Elephas maximus indicus: one gene and its partners. The protein of the gene in region 3 interacts with the protein of the main gene of each other region in a pairwise test. Links are inferred from orthologs where the notes say so. Each region holds a gene or a part of one and is shown on either strand. Other genes may lie near its edges.

Region 1 (7,761 bases), on a different chromosome or scaffold from region 3:
CTTGTTTTCACAGTCATACTCTAAATGGATGTAAATAGATGCTGCCTCACTTACGATCACGTTCTGTACTCTGTCACCGAGATTACATAGAGGTGACTTTGACTGGAGGTTCAAGACTCCCCAGACTCTTCTGTCACTCACTCACTCCATGGAGAGTTAATCACACCTGTACAATAAAGATTTGACTAATAGGAAGCTTAGAGAACACTCTCAGAGGCTTCCTCAGTGATGTTCCCCACTCCCAACAACACGATGCTTACATGTTTCTGTGATCACAGTAGCTGAACCCCAGGCCTCTCAACAATATAACTGGATTGCTTGATGCTCTAATTAAAAGAGACCAGGGATAAAATTCTGTTCCCACCATTTTACTAGCTATGTGAACTCAGGCATGAGATTTAACTCATCAGAGACTTACTTTTCCTTTTTAGTAAAACAGAGATTCCAAAAAACCAAACCTGTTGTCGTTGAGTTGGTTCCGACTCATATCGACCCTACAGGACAGAGTAGAACCGCCCCATAGGGCTTCCAAGGCTGTAAACCTTTATGGAAAAAGACTGCCACATCTTTCTCCCACGGAGCACCTGGTGGGTTCTAACCACTGACCCTTTGGTTAGCAGCCGAGCACTTAACAACTGCACCGTCTTGAGCCTTAAAATAGAGATTATAATGCCTGACTCACAGGATTGTTGGAAATATAAAATATAGTCTGTGAAAGTGCTGAGCACTACTTGACATGTAACATATACTCGATAAATACTAGTTCCTTCCCTTGCGCTGATACCGTACCCAAATAGCCACTGGGAAGTTTGTTTTTCTTCTGCTGCAACTTTTCTTTTTCTGAGTTGCTCCCGGTTTCGCAAACTCCAAGTTCCAATGACTTCTGTAGAACCAAAATGAAAGTTATAGGAAAAAGTGATGAATTATGGCATTTATCAGTCAAAGAGTCCTATGGAAAGGTGATAAAATCTCTATGCTGGGTGTCTAAGATTTTTCTCCTCTAGCTTTTTGAGGACCACTTTTCAGATAGTATTTATACATGAGTGTGTTATCAACCTATTCCCTTCTTCAAAATGATTTTTACATATTGTATAAATAGAAGAAAAAAATCACTCATGCTCTGCCATCCTTAGCATGGTAGCCTGCTGTCATTTTATTCATTTCCATCCAATCCCTGTATTACACAATATTAAACAAGTTGTAATATAGCATATTACAATTTTGTATCTCTTTAGCCTAACATTGTATCAAATATTTTCCACAGTACAGTCTTCATAATTATAATTTTAATGATTACATGATACTTAATCAAGCTGATGTATTGTTATTTACCTAACCGTTTGACTTGTAGTGGGCATTCAGGTTGTTGACAGTTCTTTTTTGCTATTGCAGACCAAAGTATAATAAGCATATTCATGCTGATAGCATTTTCTTTCTTTAGGATTATTTCTTTAGGATTATGTTTTTCCAGGTTCTTTGAAATATTAAAGTTATTATCAAAAAAGCTTCTGTTGCCATGCAAGTTTGAGGAGAGTTATTAGGTCTTTGATAGAGAGTTTCCTGAGCCTTTACTATGCGAGCCTGCACTGTGGCTCCCAGAAGGGACAAAGTATGCTGCACGACCACGGTGCCTTGTTCTTAGGACACCACCACCAGCTGCCGCTGCGCCGACGCGGGCTCACGGTGACCCCACGTGTGTCCGCCAGGGGCCGCTGCGCTGACGCGGGCTCACAGTGACCCCACGTGTGTCCGCCAGCTGCCGCTGCGCCGACGCGGGCTCGCAGTGACCCCACGTGTGTCCACCAGCGGCCGCTGCGCCGACGCGGGCTTACAGTGACCCCACGTGTGTCCAAGGAGAACTGTGCTCCATAGGGTTTTCAATGGCTGATTTTTCAGAAGTAGATTGCCAGGCCTTTCTTCTGAGGCTCCTCTGAGTGGACCCAAACCTCCAACCTTTCGGTGAACAGCTGGGCACCTGAACCATTTGCATCATGTGGGGGCTTCTATTCTTAGGACAGGGGTTCTTAACGGTGAACTTGGATGGGAAAAAATTACACCTCTATTTTTACCAACCTCTAATTAAAATGACTATTTCCGTCAATTATGAATGTAGGCCACAAACCGTGGTAGTTTTAGCAGTAGCTGTGGCTTTGTCACGCAAAGAAATGACAGACTTGATTTTCATGTCACATTACCATTGCTGCAGGTACCTCAAAATATCATTTATTTACATCAATATCATTTATACACAGCATAAATATCATTATGCTAGCTATTAGACCCAGCACTGGATCTTGTTGTTTAACGCACCTACAAACACATATATTACTGTATTTCAAGCTTCCTTTTTTTTTATTTTGATAATCATGTTTTGATAACTCGATTTCCTTTCCAATCCTATGTATTTAATGTCCTATGTTTAAATTTTTTTATTCTAAGAGGGGGTCTGTAGGCTTCATCAGCATGGCACAAAAAAAAGTTTAAGAACCCTCTCTTAGTGTATCTCAAGGCCTAGGATTCTGCAAAACATTTTGAGAAATGCTGCTTTAGGACAGACCCAAGGAGCAGGATTCGTGAGTCAAGAGAATAAACACAATTACAGTTCTGGCTACTCAGTGCCACAGCTTTTTCTAAAAGTTACACCAAATTTATGCTGCCGTAGGAGCATACGGGTATATTTGTTTTACCACATCCATACAGTATTGTATATTTTCCCTATCTTTTGTTTTAATAATTTTCTTACTAATAATTTATTTATTATACTACCTTGTGTTTTCTGTCTTATTAGAATCTTAGTGCTAGAAGGCTCCTCAGGAAGTTACACAGTCTCAGTTTTTCCCACCTAAACTTATATGAACCTACTCAGTGATGCCTTTTTTTTTTTTTTTTTTTGCCAGATCCATAAAGCATAGGCAAGTAATCACAACCCCAATTCCTCCCAACAGCCACTGCCTCTGAAGGTCTCTTTCATTACCTGGAGCATGGTTCTCTTGTTGATGAGGAGCAGGTGTCCCATGGAGTTTCACATGAGATTGGTCTGTTCCTAAATCCATCTTGCCGCAGTACCTTCCTGCTATTTAGTCTGACTTCCACAAGCAGCTTAGGAGCTTTTTTAAAATATCAAAAGTAACTAACACTTAAACACACGCACACACAAGTTCACTTGTCACTTGACTTCCCGCCTAAATGTTTTATCTGGTTGGACCACAGCTGCAGGCTAATTCTGCTTTATCACCCTGTGCAGGTGTGAGAAGGGGGAAAATGGCTGGTGCTAGGTCCTCCTCCTCTAATAGGGTGCTCTTCACACAGGCAGGTACTCTGGCCACAGCCTGGTGTGCCACAGACCTCAGGACTGCAGTCATTTGGTTCTACCTGCCACAAAGTGTGGGGATCTGATGTCCTTGTTTACATAGGGGGGTGGCTGGTGTGGAAAGAGCACTGGGTGCAGGCTCTCACCAGCTCTGTGACTCTGTTTCCTCCTTTAAAAAGTGGGTAAATAATTCCTGTCTTGCCTACTTCATACAGTTCTCATGGAAGTGAAAATAATGGATGAGCAAATTTTGAAGTGTGCGATACAGATGTGAAATTCTCAGCTACTGTTTCTCTGCACGTGGCTTTTTTTTCTCCTGAGTCTCTTGCAAAATAATGTTGTCTTGCCATGTATCCTGTTAGATTTAAATAAATAAAACATAAAGAGAAGAACCAAACTAGGAATTCAAAGCAAATTTAAACCCTTTTCTGCTCACCCAATCATTCAGAAGAAATCTAAGATAACTAGAGACATCCACTGTTACTCGTCAAGGGGAAGGTCAAAATCATTTCTCAATGAAAACATTGCCATGTTATGAAGTTAAATTGAAATCAAAGGAACTATGCCATCTTTTGATGGGTCGCCCTGTTTGTAAAGGCAAAGAGGCAGAGAGGGCCATGGTTCTACTAAGGAAGGAACCTGAGCCCTTCCTGATGCGGGCAGCCAGCCTGGGAGATGCAGGGCTAACACAGAGGCTGAACTGAAGACAGCATGAATTCCAGCATTTCTATTCCCCGAGTCTGTGGCCTTGGGCATGTTAGATAGACTCAGGAACAATATTGGCTTCTACTTCTTGGGGTTGTTGGAATGATTAATTCAGATCGTCCATATAAGGCATTTTATATGTGCCTGGGATATTGAATATATACAAAAAACCCAAACTCATTGCTGTCCAGTTGATTCCGACTCATAGTGACCTTATGAGACAGAGTAGAACTGCCCCACGGGGTTTCCAAGAAGCAGCTGGTGGATTCAAACTGCCAACCACTGTGCCACCAAGGGTCCACTGAATACATTAAAAAAAAAAAAAAAAGCCAAACCAAACCCACTGTCGCTGAATAGATTCCAACTCACGGTGACCCTATAGGACAGAGTAGAACTGCCCCATAGAGTTTCCAAGGAGTGCCTGGTGGATTTGAACTGCCAGCCTTTTGGTCAGCAGCTGTTGCTGTTAACCACCACACCACCAGGGTTTCCACTGAATATAGTGCCTGGCATATTGTACTTGTTTAAGAAATGTTAGTTGCTTGTATTAATAATGACAGTAGAGTGAGTGTTCTTTATATAACATCTGTTCCGAAAAGTTGTTTGGAAGCCAGATTTTGGTAAACCAAATCATATTTTAAATGGAATAAAGAAACTCATAAAATCTGAAGGCAATCCTTTATAAAGAGAAAAACCAAAAAACCAAACCCACTGCCACTGAGTCAATTCCAACTGATAGTGACCCTACAGGACAGAGTAGAACTGCACCGTAAGGTTTCCAAGGTTGTAAATCTTTACGGAAAGAAACTGCCACATATTTCTCCTGCAGAGAGGCTGGTGGGTTGCGACCAGCGACCTTTCAGTTAGCAGCCGAGCGCTTTAACAATTGTCCCACCAGGGCTCCTTTTATAAAGACAAGGACTTTATAATGTGACTAGGTTTCCTCTGCTTTTATAAGACATTAGAACTGGAAGGGCCCCAAACCATCTAGTTCCTGCCTCTATTTTACATATGGAGAAAATGGGAACCAAGGAGGAGGAGGGCTGACTGGCCCAATATTTTCATACTTATTGGTGGTAGCACCTCTTACTAATTATGAGATGGGTCATCTTTTTTAATTGAACTTGCCTGGCTATGAAAATGTATGTGTGGTGGGAACGTATGATAAGCAAGTTCTTCAAACACACTGAAAAGTGTTGACAATCACACAACAAACGCCCAAGTACTCACTGCTTACATTTTACTTGGTTTTTAATAACCAGGTCCTAATGCTTTAGCTTTAAGTTTCTCAGTCCCCTAGTCTTTCACTTAAGTAAATTTCTATCTAAAATCCAGATAACCTTGGGGAGCCCCTATTCAAACTAGTCCTGTAGGGAATGGAAGGCTTCCTTTATAATTTGTCTCTCGATAATTTTGGATATTCAGGTATGGAGTTCAGTAAAGACATCAAATACTGATTAAAGTACCCTTGAAAAGTATAAAATAGTGCTTTTTAATTTAAATTGTTGTTTCAAAAGTTGGTCTCTTTGAGATGTTTTCATTCTTACTAGTACAGTTGTTTGTTACATTATGATAACTCAATAAAATAACCCTTTAGAATCCCTCTGGGGCACCTTACAGAGAATATATAGGTACTTCTTAAGTAGGATTATCCTGGCTCAGAGCTCACAACATCCAGTTCACCAATTCAGCACATCTTACTGAGCACCCACTCAGTGCCACATCCTGAGCAAGGCTGCCAGGCTACAGAGATGGGTAGATGCAGCCCCTCAGCTCTTTGCCCCGTAGGCTCATAGAGGACAGAGATATACAAAGCTTCATTGTAAGGCAACAATACTTTGATTCTTTACACTCTGCTACAAACTTCCTAAATCGATTCCACCACTGCCCCCATGTTCCCTGTATCTAGAAGCAGAGTATGGAGGAATTATAAGAGGGTGGGGTCTCCAGTTAACAGTAAATAAAGGGCAGTGTTGGGCGGAGGAGGCCAGTAGAGGGACTGACTAGATTGGAAGTCAGGCAAGGTGTCTCCGGTGTGATAAGCAGGCCAGAGCGGGAAATTGCCTGGGACAGAAATAGCCAAGAAGTAAGTTTACAAGCCATAACCTACTAGACTCTAGAGTTATCACCAGAATGTGAAGTATTAAGGCATTAAAGGGTGGATATTTTAACAAACGCTGCCTTGTTCTAGGGTTATTTGCACATATACATGAAACCTACTTCTGGTTCATCTTTCTATCTCTACAGCATGATCTAGTGGAAGGCTGGGCACACAGTAGTTCCCATCAGTGCCCTCACTACCTGTATGCAGAGCTGGCTTCTTGGGACACCGACCTATGAAAATACTTTGGAAACTCTGAGGGGCTGATGCTGCCATGACTTAATAATAATATTTCTATCATCTGCTCCACAGTTCTTTCTACTGGCATATCTACTCAATGCCCAGTGTCCTGGAGACATAGCTGTTAAAAGACAAAAGTCCTTGCCCTTTTGAAGTGTATATTCTAATGGTAAGAGGTAAACAATAAACAAATGAACGAAATATGCAATATGTCAGATGGTGTTTTTTTTTTTTTTTTTTTTTTAATCAGTTGGTGGTAAGCGCTTTGGAGAAAATTAAGCAGGGAATGATGGGTTGGGGTGAGAACGGGAAGGTTGATGGTGGCTGCTGTTTTAAATAGGATGGTTGAGTGGAACTGATGGAAGTGAGGGACTAGCCATACGGATAACTGGGGGAGGGGAGTGCATTCCAGGCCTAAGGCACCAGCAAAGTTTCTGAGAGGAGAGAGTGGTAAGAGGTGAGGTTAACAGGTAGCTTGTTGACACTGGTACGGATTTCTCCTCTGAATGGGATGCGTAGTCATGGGATGGTTTTGTACAGAGGAGTGATGTAATCTGACTTATATTTTAAAAGGATTATTCTGGCAACTGTGTGGAGACCACTGAAGACAGGTGAGGAGGTGGAAGCAGGAGGTCCAGTTAGAAGGGTATTGCAGTAATCCAGAAGGAAGACGATTAAAGCTTGGACAGTGATGAAAGTGGTGAGGAAGGGGTCAGATTTTGGATTAGCTGACAAATTGAATATGGGGAGATGAGAGAAATCAAAGACAATGACACAGGTTTTGGTCTGAGAAACTGGAAGGATGGAGTTACTTACTATTAACAGATGAAGAACAGCAGAGCAGCTTTGGAAGAGAAGACCAGGAGTTAGCTCTGGATGTGTTAATAGATTGTGGAGATACGAGAAAACAGCGAAGGAGCAGCCAGTAAGGCAGAGGAAAACCAGGAAAGTGTCCTGTCCCAGAAGTCAAATGAATATAGGCAGATGGAGTAATCAACTCTGTCAAATTTCGCTAATAAGTGAAGTAGAAGAAGGATTGAAAATTCGTCCTAACAGTTTATTTTCTAACAATTCAGTTAAATGAAATATAGATGGCGGAGCCCAGAGAGTTTATGTGACTGGGACAAAGGCATACAGGCAGGATTGGCTGCATAGTTGGCAGGGCCCATGTAAAATGAAAACACAAGAGGCCTCCTCATTTAAAAATTAAGAATTTCAAGATGGATACAGCAGAGCATTAAACCCAGCACAGGGCCCTACTTTAATAGGTATCTCACTGGGTCCTTGCAGCGAGCTTATAAAGTGGCTATTATTCTTCTCACTTTTCAGCTCAAGAAACCGGTGCTCCACGTAAAGCCACAGAGCTAGACTGGGAGTTTGAGCCTGGAACCCGGGCCTTCAGCCT
Region 2 (6,974 bases), on a different chromosome or scaffold from region 3:
GCTGGTACCCCTCTGCCAGCTGCCCTGCCAACTCCAGGGCCTCCTGCAGCTCCAGCAAGTGGAACCCGAGCAATGCCAGTCTGAAACAAAAGTTTACAACTTGAAACCAAATTCTCAATTGTCGTAATCTCTCACTCGTACACTGATTAACTTCACCCTGTTCCCATTCCACCTATCTCATTTTGGTTCTTTACTCAAAGGAAAAAATGGGCAAGTGCACCTTGGAGACATCTTGCAGATGCCTAGAACGTACATTATATTTGTCAAAACATGTATGTTTATGACCATAAAATGAGAAAGTAAATAAGCAACTGCTATGCTTATCTAGGTACTACACGGTGCGAAGAATAATTTATCATAAAACCCTAATCTCTAAATACAAAGAACTGACATCAAGTGCTAAGCACGTTTTAATTGACGAAGATGTGCTGTACTGTGCCTCTCTCATCTCCAATAAAGCAATGCTCTTCCACATGAAAGTTCCATCCTACCCTACATCTTACATCTTTGGGGGGTGGCCCCTCCACAGTCATGGAAACCAAGTTCTCCCCACGCAGCAACACCAGACCCAAAACCCGCTTTTCTTCACGCTCTGGCTGCTTTGCATTCTTTGGCCTACAAATCAGAAGCAAATTTTCGTGAAGTAAGTTAGTATCTCTAGCTCAAATTATTTTACATAACTTACATGTGTATCACAAAGTAAAAATTAAGACAATAACTGATGCCAAGAATCTTATTTAAACATAAGACAGTCACTGAGCTGTGATAAAATTAACACCTAGACTCAGCTGATATGCAAATACTAGGTACAGCAAGGTGAGTGCTGAAGCTCTTCTATTAAGCTTCAGCCCTTTAAAGAATGTTCTCTAGATATTACACTTCAGCAAAACTAATTTCTTCATTGTAAAATAAATGCAATGACACAGTAAGCCTTTTAAAACAGTCAAAACTGAAACCTAACTCTATATAATTTTAAGATGGGCAATAATTTCTAAATCATTTTTTTAACTAGGTAAATCTTATTGACATATCATGGAACTGAAATAATGAATAAGACAGTAATAGGCAAAAGAGGGCATACAAAATGGTAAGGAAGTACTTGGAATCAGAGACACCTGTGTATTCCTGAGCTTACCATTTACTGTGTAACTTTGGAAAATTAAATTCCTATCCTAGTTTCTTCAAATGTAAGCAGGAAAAATCAGATTAATGTCTACTGCATACATGTATGGGGTTTAAACCGCATTGTTTTTTTTTTTTGTGTAGGTAAAAGGAACCATTACAATTACAATGCCATTTAATAAATCCCATTAGGTATTACCAGAGAATAATGCAAGCTGAAGCATTAACTAGGTATAATTACTCCCACGACTTGGTCAGAAAGGAATGAAAAACAGAAACTGAGAATATGCCCGAAGCTCTCAAATACCTTCTTTGTTATTTATCAATATCATAAGGGTTTTTTAATGCTTTTTAGTATAAAGGTGGTTTAAACAAAAAAAGTAAAAATAAAACTGAGGCATCCACCATCCTAGCACTTCTGGAATGATCGGCCTTGGTACAGGAAGGAGACTGGAAATAAATGAAAGGGGGACGACAATGAAAATGTCATGAATTCTGTTCATTCAAATTTAACTGAGAAGAACTGTCCTCAACAAGCACAAGGAGTCAAACATCACTTTTCCTCATTATTTTAAAACCCAGGAAACCCTGGTGGTGTAGTGGTTAAGTGCTACAGCTGCTAACCAAAAGGTCAGCAGTTCGAATCCGCCAGGCGCTCCTTGGAAAGTCTTTTTGCAAATTAGAAATAGTTCTATGGCGATAAAAACTTTGAGACTGGGAGCCTCTACAGCTATTTGAAGATGACACCGAAGGGTTAGAAACTTTTTCCCTACCTCCTTCAACTACCCTCTATAATCCCTTACTCCTGCTCTAGCCTTGGCTTCCCACTGCCTCTACCTGCATATTCTTTACCCAAACAGGTCTTTCTTACTTGATCTTCCTGAACTCATCACAATCACAAAGGATTAAGTTCATATGCTTGTCAAAGGCCTTAAAGGTGCCAATGAAGATTCGGCCATCTTGCAGGATACATCTCATTCTATAGTCAATGTGCTGCAGCATCTTACTGCTCTTGCCCACGGTCTGCAAGGAGTAAAATGAGAGTCAATAATCAGCTTGTTCACAGCCTATTTTTCTATGCCACTTGGGTTTCTTTCCCACTCCTATACCAACCTGAAACTGACTTCTTTCGCTGACCAAATCCCTCCACCTTTCCCCAATTTCCTTCACACCTACTCAAGACAATAGTCTACATTTGAATCCAGTTCCCCTCTATAGCTCCATCATTCTAATCCCATTCCTTTCCCAAATCATGGCCAAACTTCACCCTCTCACAGACACTTGACCCTATCTCTTTTCTCTCCTCTCCAAGTTTTGTTTTTTGCTTCTGTTTTTACTATTAATAGGGTAGAGTAGTGGTTAAGAGCTTGGCTGCTAAACACAAGGTTGGCAGTTCAAATCCACCAGCCACTCCTTGGAAACTCTATGAGGGCAGTTGTACTCTGTCCTTATAGGGTTGCTGTGAGTCGGAATCAACTCTACACCAACAGGTACTAATAAGGTTAGGATACTGTATCTTTCTCCAGACTGCTTTCATCTATACTAACTGAGCCCCAAATTTCTCCATTTTCAAAGTAGATGTTACATATACTGTAATCTGACCTAACAGTCTACCTTCAAATGGTCTCTTACAATTATAATCACAACCAAAAACTCTTCTGTATTTTCTCACAGCAAAATGGTTTGCAATCCTTTTCACTACTACAACATGAACATCACACATTACTTATCTTCAGCCACTACCCTAATTCAGTGAGAATCCATTTCTACAAACTTCTGATTTTTAACATTCAGAACCCAAAATCAACCCACACTCTGGCAAACCCTTAGAGCAGTTTACCACCCCTCTCTCCTAATCTTCATCTTACCATGATTGCTGTTCCACCAAATCCAATGTCCTCACAGTAAAGTTTCTGGAACCTTAAGACCTAGGGGAAGGCTACAGATAAAGGTATGACGTGGTTCTCCTATAAACAATGCCAGCTGGGAAGAAGCTTCAAACAGCAGACGGAGCCTGCGGAGGAGAGCATGTTCAAGCTGCACCACCATCTACCATGTTTACAACAGGCAGATAATTTTGCATGAAAACCACAAAAGACATATTCAAAAATATTCCTACTCCCATGTTCCCACAACCACCAAGAAAAAATTCACTATTCCCTCATATTAACTATCACATTTGACAAAACTCATTTAATTTTATTTTGCCTAGAAATGTGCCAAAAATCAGCTTCATTATCCACTCCCAAAATTTACTATTTTCTCTTTCCATCCTTATTTAAGCTACTGATTCATTTTTTTCTCTGGTCTAAAATTAATACCGAGTCACCTCTACATCAACATCTTGATAATCAAGTTTCTCCATCCCAACTACCCCTAAGTTAGTTCAAACATTCACGGTTGGTTGGTTGGTTGTTTTGTTTTGTTTTGTTTTTTGGCCATACCACCTAATAACTCACTTAAATGTTCTCAATTGAAATGTTCCCTCACTCCCTACAGCTCCATCAAAATGATGTTAGCTAATCTTTATTTACCAAGAGCCAGGTTTATTACTACATACCTGCTTCAGACTTCCTACGTCAAAAGGGTGCAAACAACTAATTGTCGATATATCGGAATACGGCAACTTCCATAGTCACCAAAGAAACACACACTTTAACAATAAGCTATCCTTTTCCCTGTTACTCTAAAAATGCGCCTTCCATATACGGCTACGAAATCTAGGCTGAACTGGTTATAACAAAGCCTCAAGCTGTGACTTATTAAAAAAAAAAACCATAGACATACTTTTTAACAGAAGTTTAGGTTTATGCATAAAAGAAGCACAGCATTAGAAACAAAATCTGATATAACTACTTTTAACAAGGCAACCATTTCCAATAATATTATACCTTCATTGTTTTCAATACAGAAATACTAAAATCAAGAAAAAGTAAGCTGGTTATCTATGTCATGAATTGTACATGTGAACAGGACTGAAATGACAGCTGTTTTATTTTGCCACAATAAAGAAAAAAGAAACTGGTTACATATACAAGTTAAAATTAATTAAAGTGTGGTTACAAACTACAGAAACATCAAAACAATACAGAGAAATAATGCTTTGAGGACACTGTCACGTGGAGCTATATGGTAACAGAACAGAAGAGAATGTAGTATCAAAGTAAAAGTTCACTAATGGTGATGAGATGCAGGAAAGATGCTTTCCTTCTCATTTCCAAAATTTTACATCTATTAAATAAATTTTTATGACAACTCGGATTGCCTAAACAAATTCCTGATGTTGCTTCTTTTTGGAACATTTCCTGCAAGATGATCTGTCCATATCTTAACGCATGGTCTGACTAATCTCTATACACACCTCTTCTCCAATCAACCAGGCTTATATTCTCAAGAGTGTAAGAATTATGTCCTTCCAGACACTTCAATGCCTAGCACCCAGGAAGAATCCAATATTTGTATGAATTAACGTTTTACATGAACCTTATACTTAAACGAGTATACTAATCAGCAGCCTGAGGACCCTCAAATGCAGTATCTGACGCAAACTCGTTTAAAGCCTACAACATCTTTGTTCTGAATATTGCCTTAAAATTCTTTATAATGCAGAGTCCAAACACCACCACCTATATATAAAACTCAATCCTCCTTTTCTTCTTAAATACAGCACGTTTTTTTTTTAATTCTTCATTTTTATAACCCTGTATCTATTAAGTCCTGGGACCCTGAGCAAACCTAGAGACAAAGTAATAGATGAGTGGTTGTCTGGTGCTGGGGGTGGAAATGGGGAATGGCTGAAAATAGGCATGATGGATCTTAATGAAGTGATGGAAATAGTCTAAAATTACCCTGTGGCAATTGGTGCCCAAAGATGTAAATTAGCTAACAAGTCTAGATTTATACATACTTCTGTGAAATATCTAGAATAGGCAAAAGCAGAGACAAAAGTTTATCAATGATTACCAGAAGTATGAGTGAGGGAGGATTGGGGCATTATTGCTTAAGCGGTACTGAGTTTCTGTTTGGAGTGAGGCAAAACATTTTATGGATAGTGGTGATGGCTGCACAACATGGTGAATAAAATTTATGTCACTGACATATATTTAATAATGATTAAAATAGCAAATTTTGTTATATATATTTTATCACAATAATATCATACAAACAGTTGGTAATTTTATGGTATTGAAAGCTATGTATCAAAATGTTTTAAAGGGTTCAATAAGGTCAATAACTTAAAATAATGTACAAAGTTCAAACTATTACTTTCATATGCCACTGATGGGGGAAAAAAATCAGCACAACCACCGAGACACTATTCCTTGACCACGCTCCCTTGCCGCCAACAATGGAGACATACTACCAGCGTGCCACAGAAAAGTTATTGAAAGAAACCAGTAGAGCTGGATATAGCTTTTCTAAGACTAAATTTGAAAGACAAAAAAAAAAAGTAACCACAGAAACCTTTAAGGTTTTTATTGAGTAAGAGGAAACCCTGGTGGCGTAGTGGTTAACTGCTATGGCTGCTAACCAAGAGGTCGGTAGTTCGAATCCACCAGGTGCTCCTTGGAAACTCTATCGGGCAGTTCTACTCTGTCCTATAGGGTCACTATGAGTCGGAATCGACTCGACGGCAGTGGGTTTTATTGAGTAAGAAAAAGTAAACTGAGGCACTTGACTAAAGTAAAATGGCTGCTTTAGCGTTCAGGGTCCTACTCCATCTTGCCTTTAAGATATGCAAACCCCTAACTTATTCTTTAAGGCCTATAACTAAATGTAAACTAAAGAAACCTTTTTCTTTTCCCCCTTTTCTCTGTGGTTAGGAAACCCTGGTGGTGTAGTGGTTAAGAGCTACAGCTGCTAACCAGAAGGCCAGCAGTTTGAATCTACCAGGCATTCCTTGGAAACCGTATGGAGCAGTTCTACTCTGCCTTATAGGGTCACTATGAGTTGGAATCTACTCGACAGCAATGGGTTTATCAAGACCCTTCCTGAAACAATGTCTCAGGAAGAAGACCTTGATGCTGACTCTCTTCTGGGTCTCCTAGGCAACTACTGACAAGAAAAATTTCACTTAAGCCAGGTGTTTCTAGTAGAAAAAGGACCTGTAAACCTCCACAGCCCCCACTTTCAGTAAACCCACCTTGCGTTAATCTAAGTTTGTAATGTCCAATCAAAATAGTGCACCTCAAGTTCTTTGTTCTCATCCTTTAAAAGTTCTCTGCAGCTTCACTGTTTTGGAAGTATTTGTTCACTCTGTAAAATCAGACGTTTTATCCAGGCCAGACTGTTAATGAACCACCAATAAATCTCCTTTCTTCAACAGAGTAAGTGTTTACTACGCTTAGACATAAAACAGCACCCGAACAGGCTCGGAGGCATCACCTTTTGTAATCTCCTGGGACATCACCAAATCAGACCTCTGTGCCACAGGGGTATCTTTGTGCTGTTCCATTTTTCTGGGGTCCTGACATTGTCACTCCAGGTAAATAGCCTCTGGAGCTGAACTCAGCCTTTTTGCATTGAGTTTCTGAAGAATTATGATTGGTTTTCTATCTTCTGCTGTCTGAAATTGATCAAACACGTAATAAAGATGCACTGATAATTACTAGTGATTGTAACTGAAAAAGTTGAAAACAAAGAAGTACTGGTAGTTGGAGAACTGGCCTCGGTGACAGAGATCTCATGATACACTTTTACAAGAATGAATTATTCATTGCAAATACCTTTATTCAACAACAAAAATGGTGACAATACATGTGGACCTCACTGAATGGAATACTCAGAAATCAAATTGACCGTATCTGTGGAGAGAGACAATGGAAAGTCCAATATCAGTCAGAAGAAGGCTA
Region 3 (7,824 bases):
TTCCTCCCTCCCTCCCGCCCTCTGCAGCCCCAGGAGCAGGGCCATCCAGCCAAGGAAGGTTACAGAGTAGCCGTGGAGAGCAGTGCGGTCTGTAAGGCTCAGACACCCTGTGTTGCCACAGGGTCGAGAGAACGCCATAAGGGGCTTTGCTTCTGCCACCTTTCAAAACGAGAGGAAAAACGGCGCCCTGGTGGCAAACAGAAGCAGGTCCCGACCTCCTGAATTATTAAGGTGGAAACAGGCCAGCCCAGCGCATCGCGTGGAGTTTCCTCAAATCATGTGCGGGGACTGTGGGATTCCAGCTCTCCCTCCCCGCTCACACAGACCCAAAGATGCCCTGGCTGCACGACCCCCGGGCTGCACAGCTCATGAGCTGAAGTGACCAACTGAAAGCCACGAACAGAGAGGCTGCCCTCCCCACTAGCTGGTCGGTCACGTTTTCATTTTACGTATTTAGGAAATTTAGTTTAAAAATTCACACGGCACTAGCAGGCCTGCCACCAAACAAAATGCCTCTAAAATCGCTGGAGTCACCGAAGCCCGCCCCAGCACCCTCCACATACGCTCCATTTTGAGATGGCTGTTTTTCTTCAGAGAAAACCCTTTAGCTTGAGGGTTACTACTTTCTTTCTAGTCTGTAATGCCACAAAAGCCCCAAATCAACAAGCGAAGCTTGGAGAAATCAGTCCCCCCACCCTGGCTGCCCCGTGGCCACCAACACAGGAAACGAGGCTAGACTCACAGAGGAGGGGTAAAAAGTTCACGACAGTTTCTTTCCGACTCCTCCGCTTGGCCAAAATGTATAACTGTTCTTAGGAAATACAAGGTTTTTTCTTCTTTCAAAGCAAGTTGTTTGCAGCGAATCCCATCCTTACACCCTACTGAGACTTGGTCTTTGTATCCTACTGTATCATAGTAAACACTCGCTTCCAGAGCTTTCCTCGGAGGGAATATGTGTGAAGGGAAGATCACAAATGAAGTAAGGGAGTCAAACGACGGGCCACGTGAGGCTAGACTGGCTCCGGCAAGACGAAGTGGAGCTGGGGGCAGCTGTTGGGGGGTCTGCTGGGGCCACAGGATCACAGGCCTTGAACCTGGGGCCCTGGGGACTTGGAGGGGACAGAGGCCAAAGGATCACCAGCCTGGGATCTGGGGCCTTGGAGGAGGGTTGGAGGCCACAGGATCACCAGCCTGGGATCTGGGGACTTGGAGGAGGGTTGGAGGCCACAGGATCACCAGCCTGGGATCTGGGGACTTGGAGGAGGGACGGGGGCCACAGGATCACCAGCCTGGGACCTGGGGACTTGGAGGAGGGACGGGGGATACAGGATCACCAGCCTGGGCTCCGGGGACTTGGAGGAGGGACGGGGCCAAAGGATCACCAGCCTGGGATCTGGGAACTTGGAGGAGGGACGGGGCCACAGGATCACCAGCCTGGGATCTGGGGACTTGGAGGAGGGACGGGGCCAAAGGATCACCAGCCTGGGATCTGGGGACTTGGAGGAGGGTTGGAGGCCACAGGATCACCAGCCTGGGATCTGGGGACGTGGAGGAGGGTTGGAGGCCACAGGATCACCAGCCTGGGATCTGGGGACTTGGAAGAGGAACAGAGGCCACAGGATTACCAGCCTGGGATCTGGGGACTTGGGGGAGGGATGGGGGATACAGGATCACCAGCATAGAATCTGGGGACTTGGAGGAGGGACAGGGGCCACAGGATCACCAGCCTGGGATCTGGAGACTTGGAAGAGGAACAGGGGCCACAGGATTACCAGCCTGGGATCTAGGGACTTGGGGGAGGGATGAGGGATACAGGATCACCAGCATAGAATCTGGGGATTTGGAGGAGGGACAGGGGCCACAGAATCACCAGCCTGAGGTCTGGGGACTTGGAGGGACAGGGATGCGGGATCACCAGCCTGGCATTTATGGGGACCAGGGTTACAGGATCGTAAGCCCAGAAGCCATGGATCCAGTAGGGCCAAGCCGCAGGATCAAGGGCCTGAAAAGCAGGCGTCCAGAGGAGGAACATGGAATGCACGGTCACAGACCTAGAATTGCGGTGTCTGCTGGGACTGAGACCAGATATTACAGACTTAGGATCTGAATATCGAATGGGGACCCAGGGATCCGATGGGGCCAGGCCTCAGGACCACGGTCTCAGGATCCCGAGAATTCAGCAGGACTGGGGCTGTAGGATCAAGGGTCCAGAATCTGGGGTTCTGATAGGACCAAAACCTCAAGATCACGGACCCGGGATTCAGGAGTCTGAGGCTGCAGGATCACTGGCCCAGAATCCGGGGTTCTGATGGGGCCAGAGCTGCAGCGTCGTGGACTCAGGATCCGGGGAACTGATGGGGCCGGGCCACAAGTTCACAGACCCGGAACCCGGGGATTCAGTAGGGCCAGGCCGCAAAAACATACGCCTAGAAAAGGGGGATGCGGCGGCCCCGGGGACGCAGTCACGGGCCTGGGATCGGGGCATCTGTTGGGGCTACGGGCGCAGGACTGCGGGTCCCAGCCCCGGCCGGGCCCAGCTGTTCCCTCCGGCCGGGGGCTGCCGCCCGGCCCGCAGACCCCTTTGTGTCACCTGCGCGGGCGGGCGGGGCAGGCGTGGCGATGGCGCACGCGCACTCACACGCAACCCGCTCGCGCACGCGCCCGGCCCCGCCCGCGGCCCCGCCCCCTCGGCGCGCACGCGCACTGCACACAAAGCCGGCGCCCCCCACGGGCGCGCGCTCGGCCCGCCCCCGCGCCCACCGCCCACCGCCGGCCGGTTCCCCGCCCCCTCGCCCGCCCGCCCGCCCGCCGGCCGCGGCCGGAAATGCGCGCGCGCGGCCCGGCCTTACCGAGAGGCAGGCCCTTGTTGAGCAAGTGCGAGCTGCCCATTGAAAGGCGCGGGCGGCCGCGGGCCCCGACGAGTCCGGCGCGCTCCGCCGCTGGCCCGGCGCGTGGGGCGGCCTCGGCGCCGTCCGCTGTTCCGCCCGCTCGCCTGTACCTGGGCGCCGCCGTGCCGAGCCGCTGCGCCGCGCCGACAGCCGCGCTCCGAACGGGCGGGGACAGGCGCGGCGGCGGCGGCGCGCGGGCGGCGGGCGGGGCTTAGCGGCCGGATTAATCTCTTGTTTCCAGGAAAGAGCGCCGCGCCGGACGGACGCGGGCGGACGCGGGCGGCTGCAGGGCGCGCCCGCCCGGCCCCGCCCCAGGCCTGGGCGGTGCCGCGGCCGAACCCGCGCCAGCTCCGGCCCTGCACCCCACAGCTCCGGGCGCCACCGAGGGGCGCGGGCGGCGCAGGGCGGAGCCGGGCGCACCTGCCGGCGCACCTGTCCCGTGGCACCTGCGCCGCGCCGTCGGGGCCGGCCGGGTGTAGGACCCGGCTCGCGGCCGCGGGTGGCAGCTCCGCGGACGCGACGGCCGAATGGTTACCGTGCCCCTGCACGGAGGCGCTGCCAGGGCGCAGACGGCGGCCATGCGCAGGCCTGCAGGCCCCGGAAGGCGCTGGACGCGGCCTCGCTCCGCGGAGAAGCCACAGCAGACGCCCCAGCGAGTTTCTGGCGCTGTTGGGAACCCCCCGGGACGAGCTTCCCTAGCCGGCTGCGGGAGCCGCCTGCTGCCCCGATGACCTGGACCCAGGGACCGGAGCAGGGGTTCCCCGGGCCTAGGCGGGACCCCGGGGAGATGAGGCCAGGTGTGTCTGAAGCGGGGTCCGTGCCAGAGAACTGGCCCGCCAGCGGACCCCAAACCCCGGGGAGCGGCCTGCGCTCCACAGGGGTGGACTGCAGAGGCGAGCTGGGCCCCTGAGGCTTGTGGGGGCCCCTCTAGGGTGGGAGTCCACCAGCCCCAAGGGCAGGTGAGCCTGTTGATGAGGAAGGGCAGCAGCCAGCCCGGGAGACCCTGGTCCCTCGAGCCGAGCCGGAATGCTTTCTGTTGCGCCGGGGCTAATAGGCTGTGAAGACAGGAATCATTGTTCTCTGAAATCAAAACAAACCAATTCTAGGTGTCCAAGTTCTTTCTGGAGTTCCTTCTCTCTAAAAAAAGGTCCATTTTCCCACGGTCTTGGATACACCTGTACCTGTGTGCCTTTTCAGCTGCTGCACTTTCAGCACCTGGCTGGATCCAGGTCTTAGCCAGGAACACAGGTCAAAGGAGCAGCCTGGAGACATTTCCACTGCCAGGAAGGTCCCAGTGGTACCTGAGGGGAGCCACCTGTTCACTTGGAACGGGATTCCTCCCATCACCAGCCCAGGCTCTGGCCCTGTCCTGAGATGGACAGGAATGTGTAATTCATCCAGCCAGCAAGGGACAGGGAGCTTGTGACAAGGAAATGCAAAGCTTTAGCCAGGACTTTGAGACAAACAACCTGCTACCAAAATAGCCCATGCCTACCTGGAGGTGCCTGGAGATCATGGCCGGTAGCCATTCCCCTGTCTTGTGACCGCTAAGCCCCAGAGTGCTCAGCATATGGCCCCCATAAACATCCACCTCTCCTGGACACTCCCATCTACATCCAAACACAATCAAGCCCCACATCTAACCCCCATCCTAGCAGCTGACGTTAATGTCAGTCTGTATGGAAGCATCCGTAACGCTTATTTTCTGTATCTAAATTAAATTTTACGTGTATATTTAAATGTTACATGCACTTGCATAAATAGACATGTATATACATAGGAGCCCTGGTGATGCAATGGTTAAGCGCTCAGCCACTAACTGAAAGGTTGGTGATTCAAACTGACCCAGTGGATCTGCGGAAGAAAGACCTGGCGATCTGCCCCCGTAAAGATTACAGCCTAGGAAACCCTATGGGGCAGTTCTACTGTGTCACGTGGGGTCTCTACGAGTTGGGATTGACAACACCCAACATTAATATATGTACATATTGAGGTGCAGTCAGTTGCTTTTATATGACCTTTCTAGCCATGGTCTTTCTTATAACATCCATAAAATGATTGGGTGGAACTATGTAAATAAGGTGTGTAAACTACGGGGATTGAACAATCTGCTGATGCAAATAAGGTGCATGGAAACCTTGTAGGGGATTGGTCAGTTTTGTCATCCCACTAGGCTTAAAAAAAAACAATCCAAGGTTGAGAGGGGACCTCACTACCATCAAAAAGAGGCAGGAGCAAAGTGCGCCCTTTAGACCCAGGGGCCCTGCACTGAGAACCTGCTAGACCAAGGAGACAGAGCTATAGCATTGGAGAGCTGTAACTCAAGAGAGCTTTTACACTGGAGATGACGTGAGATGGTGAGAAGCAGTGGCAAGCTTAGCAGAGTCCAGCAGCAGAGACACCACAGCAAGAGAACCAGGAGGCTGGTGTGAGGTGGTGCAGTGGGCTTCTTGGCCCACAGAGCAAGGCAGCTATACTGGGCTTGCCAAGCCGTGAAGTGAGAGAGCTGAGCACCTCCGGGTAGACTTGCTGTCAGAGTGGGGTGCCTTTGGGCACTTATTTGTGGAGCTAAAGGGTTGTAACACTTGCCCGAGCAGGGCAGAGGCCTGCCTACGGGCATGGCTGAGAAGCTGTCCTAGTGGAAGAAATGTATCCTGAGCTCCTGTTACTTCCAACTTGTTCCAGATCCTGAATTGTAACCTGTTACTTACATAATAAACCCTGTAATCTTGAGTATGGTCTGTGAGTTCTGTGTGGCCGTTGCAAGGAACTATCCAACCCAGCAGAGAAGTAGAGAGTGTCGTGGGAGGGATGGCTGGTGTTAGAACTGGCTAAACGGCTGGAGAGTGGAGGTGTGTCTGACCTGCACCTCATGGGAGTCAGCTTCGGGCTAACGCTGATTGTCACTCTCTCTTCGCCTCCTAAAGTTAGGCAAGGAGGTCTGATACGACACTACCATTTTACACATACGTCCATGTTTTAAACCAAAATCCCACTGCCATCAAGTCAATTCAGAATCATAGTGATCCCATAGGGTTTCCAAGGCTGTAAATCTCTACGGAAGCAGACTGCCACATCTTTCTGCCATGGAGCTGCTGGCGGTGTCAAACTGTGGACCTTTCAGTTAGCTTTAACCAGTGCGCCACCAGGGCTCCTCATATACATGTTTGGATATATATATATAGAGAGAGAGAGAAGAAACCTGGTAGTGCATTGGTTAAAGCACTACTCAGCTGCTAAATGAAAGGTCGGCAGTTCAAACCCACCAGCTGCGCCACAGGAGAAAGATGTGACAGTCTGCTTCCATAAAAATTTACAGCCTTGGAAATCCTATGGTGCAGTTCCACTCTGTCTGACTCACAGCAACAGGTTTATATATGTATGTATACATACATATATATATATCAAACTCATTGCCATCGAGTGGATTCTGACTCATAGCGACCCTATAGGACAGAGTAGAACTGCCACATAGAGTTTCCAAGGAGCACCTGGTGGATTTGAACTGCCAACCTTTTGGTTAGCAGCTGTAGCACTTAACCACTGCACCACCAGGCTTTCCTATATATATATATATGTATATAACTGTATATATTATGTATAAAAATAGTATTATATATATATTGAATATATATACACACACATATAAGTTTGAATATGTTCTTTTAGGCACCTACTTTGGAGATCACGTTCTTATCATGCATGGCTTCTTGGCAGCCTTTGCAAACTTCAAGAAACTCCAAGTTTCTGGGACTCGCCCTGTGTGGGTTTTCCTCTCACGCCTCCCACCACCGGCTCCTCAATGCCAGGCCCTCTTCTCTGTGCACACCCTCTGCAGTGGCCTCACCTGGAGATGCTTTCCGACACCTTTCCCTCCCTCACCCCAAGCCCACTCAACTCCCAGGCCACCTGGTCACATCTTCCACCCACGTCCGCTGCTCTCCATCCCCCACTGCCGCCTCTCACCGCCCAGCTTAAGCACTCTCCAACACTCCCTAAATACAAACCAATTACATTCACCTGGGAAAAGGTCACCACCACTGAGACCCTGTGTGACCTGGCCACCTTGCACACCAGCCACCTGCCCTCTAGTCCTGCCACCCGGCCCCCGCCCCTCGGTCTGCTGCACTGTCTTCCTGCCGGACAGTGCTGTGCCATGAGGCTCTGCAGGCTGCTCACCGCTGCCACAGGAATGGACACATAGTGGGCACACAAAGATATCTTTACTAAATGAACTGGTACCAAGACCAAAACCCACTGCTGTCCAGTCAATTCCAACTCATACAGACCCTATAGGAAAGAGTAGAACTGGCCCATAGGGTTTCCAAGGCTATAGTCTTTATGGGGAGCCCTGGTGGTGCAGTGGTTAAGCGCTGTGCTGCTAACCAAAAGGTCAGCAGTTTGAATCCACTAGCCGCTCCTTGGAAACCTTATGGGGCAGTTCTACTCTGTCCTATAGGGTCACTGAGTTGGGATCGACTTGATGGCAACAGGTTTGGTGGACTTTTTGGGGGTGGGGGGTGGGCGGTGAGAATCTCTATGGAAGCAGACTGCTACATCTTTCTCCCGTGGAGCAGCTGGTGGCTTTGAAACGCCAACCTTTCGGTCAGCAGCTGGGCACTTAACAACTGTGCCACCAGAACAACTTAAATGAACGGGAAGAAGGTAACTTTTTTTTAACCGATATTCCAGTGTTGAAGGAGCCCTGTTGGCACAATGGTTAAGTGCTCAACTGCTAACTGAAAGGTTAACGGTTAAAACCCCACCAGCAGCACCTCAGGAGAAAGACCTGGGAATCTGCTTCTATAAAGATTACAGCCCAGAAAACCATATGGGGCAGTTCTACTCTATCCTATGGGGTTGCTATGGATCAAAAATGGCTTGACGCACCCAACGACAACAGCTGCATTCCAGTATTAATGAGCTAGAAGGTATA

What was found. The genes of interacting proteins can lie anywhere in the genome.
Region 1: the proteins of CTBP1 (region 3) and HEMGN interact in a two-hybrid assay, tested with the Homo sapiens proteins (2 studies listed by BioGRID and IntAct). The link is inferred for Elephas maximus indicus from reciprocal best matches to the Homo sapiens genes CTBP1 and HEMGN.
Region 2: the proteins of CTBP1 (region 3) and SNRPN interact in a two-hybrid assay, tested with the Homo sapiens proteins (2 studies listed by BioGRID and IntAct). The link is inferred for Elephas maximus indicus from reciprocal best matches to the Homo sapiens genes CTBP1 and SNRPN.

The regions. Positions count from the first base shown.
Region 1 is NC_064827.1:47,863,000-47,870,760, forward strand, and holds the start of HEMGN (hemogen), read right to left. Parts: upstream 3,083-7,761; 5' UTR 3,054-3,082; coding exon 2,975-3,053; intron 884-2,974; coding exon 790-883; intron 1-789. UniProt on the Homo sapiens protein: Regulates the proliferation and differentiation of hematopoietic cells. Overexpression block the TPA-induced megakaryocytic differentiation in the K562 cell model. May also prevent cell apoptosis through the activation of the nuclear factor-kappa B (NF-kB).
Region 2 is NC_064831.1:99,699,234-99,706,207, reverse strand, and holds the start of SNRPN (small nuclear ribonucleoprotein-associated protein N), read right to left. Parts: upstream 3,083-6,974; 5' UTR 2,994-3,082; coding exon 2,991-2,993; intron 2,146-2,990; coding exon 1,994-2,145; intron 616-1,993; coding exon 504-615; intron 81-503; coding exon 1-80.
Region 3 is NC_064823.1:159,373,148-159,380,971, forward strand, and holds the start of CTBP1 (C-terminal-binding protein 1), read right to left. Parts: upstream 3,065-7,824; 5' UTR 2,890-3,064; coding exon 2,850-2,889; intron 1-2,849. UniProt on the Homo sapiens protein: Corepressor targeting diverse transcription regulators such as GLIS2 or BCL6. Has dehydrogenase activity. Involved in controlling the equilibrium between tubular and stacked structures in the Golgi complex.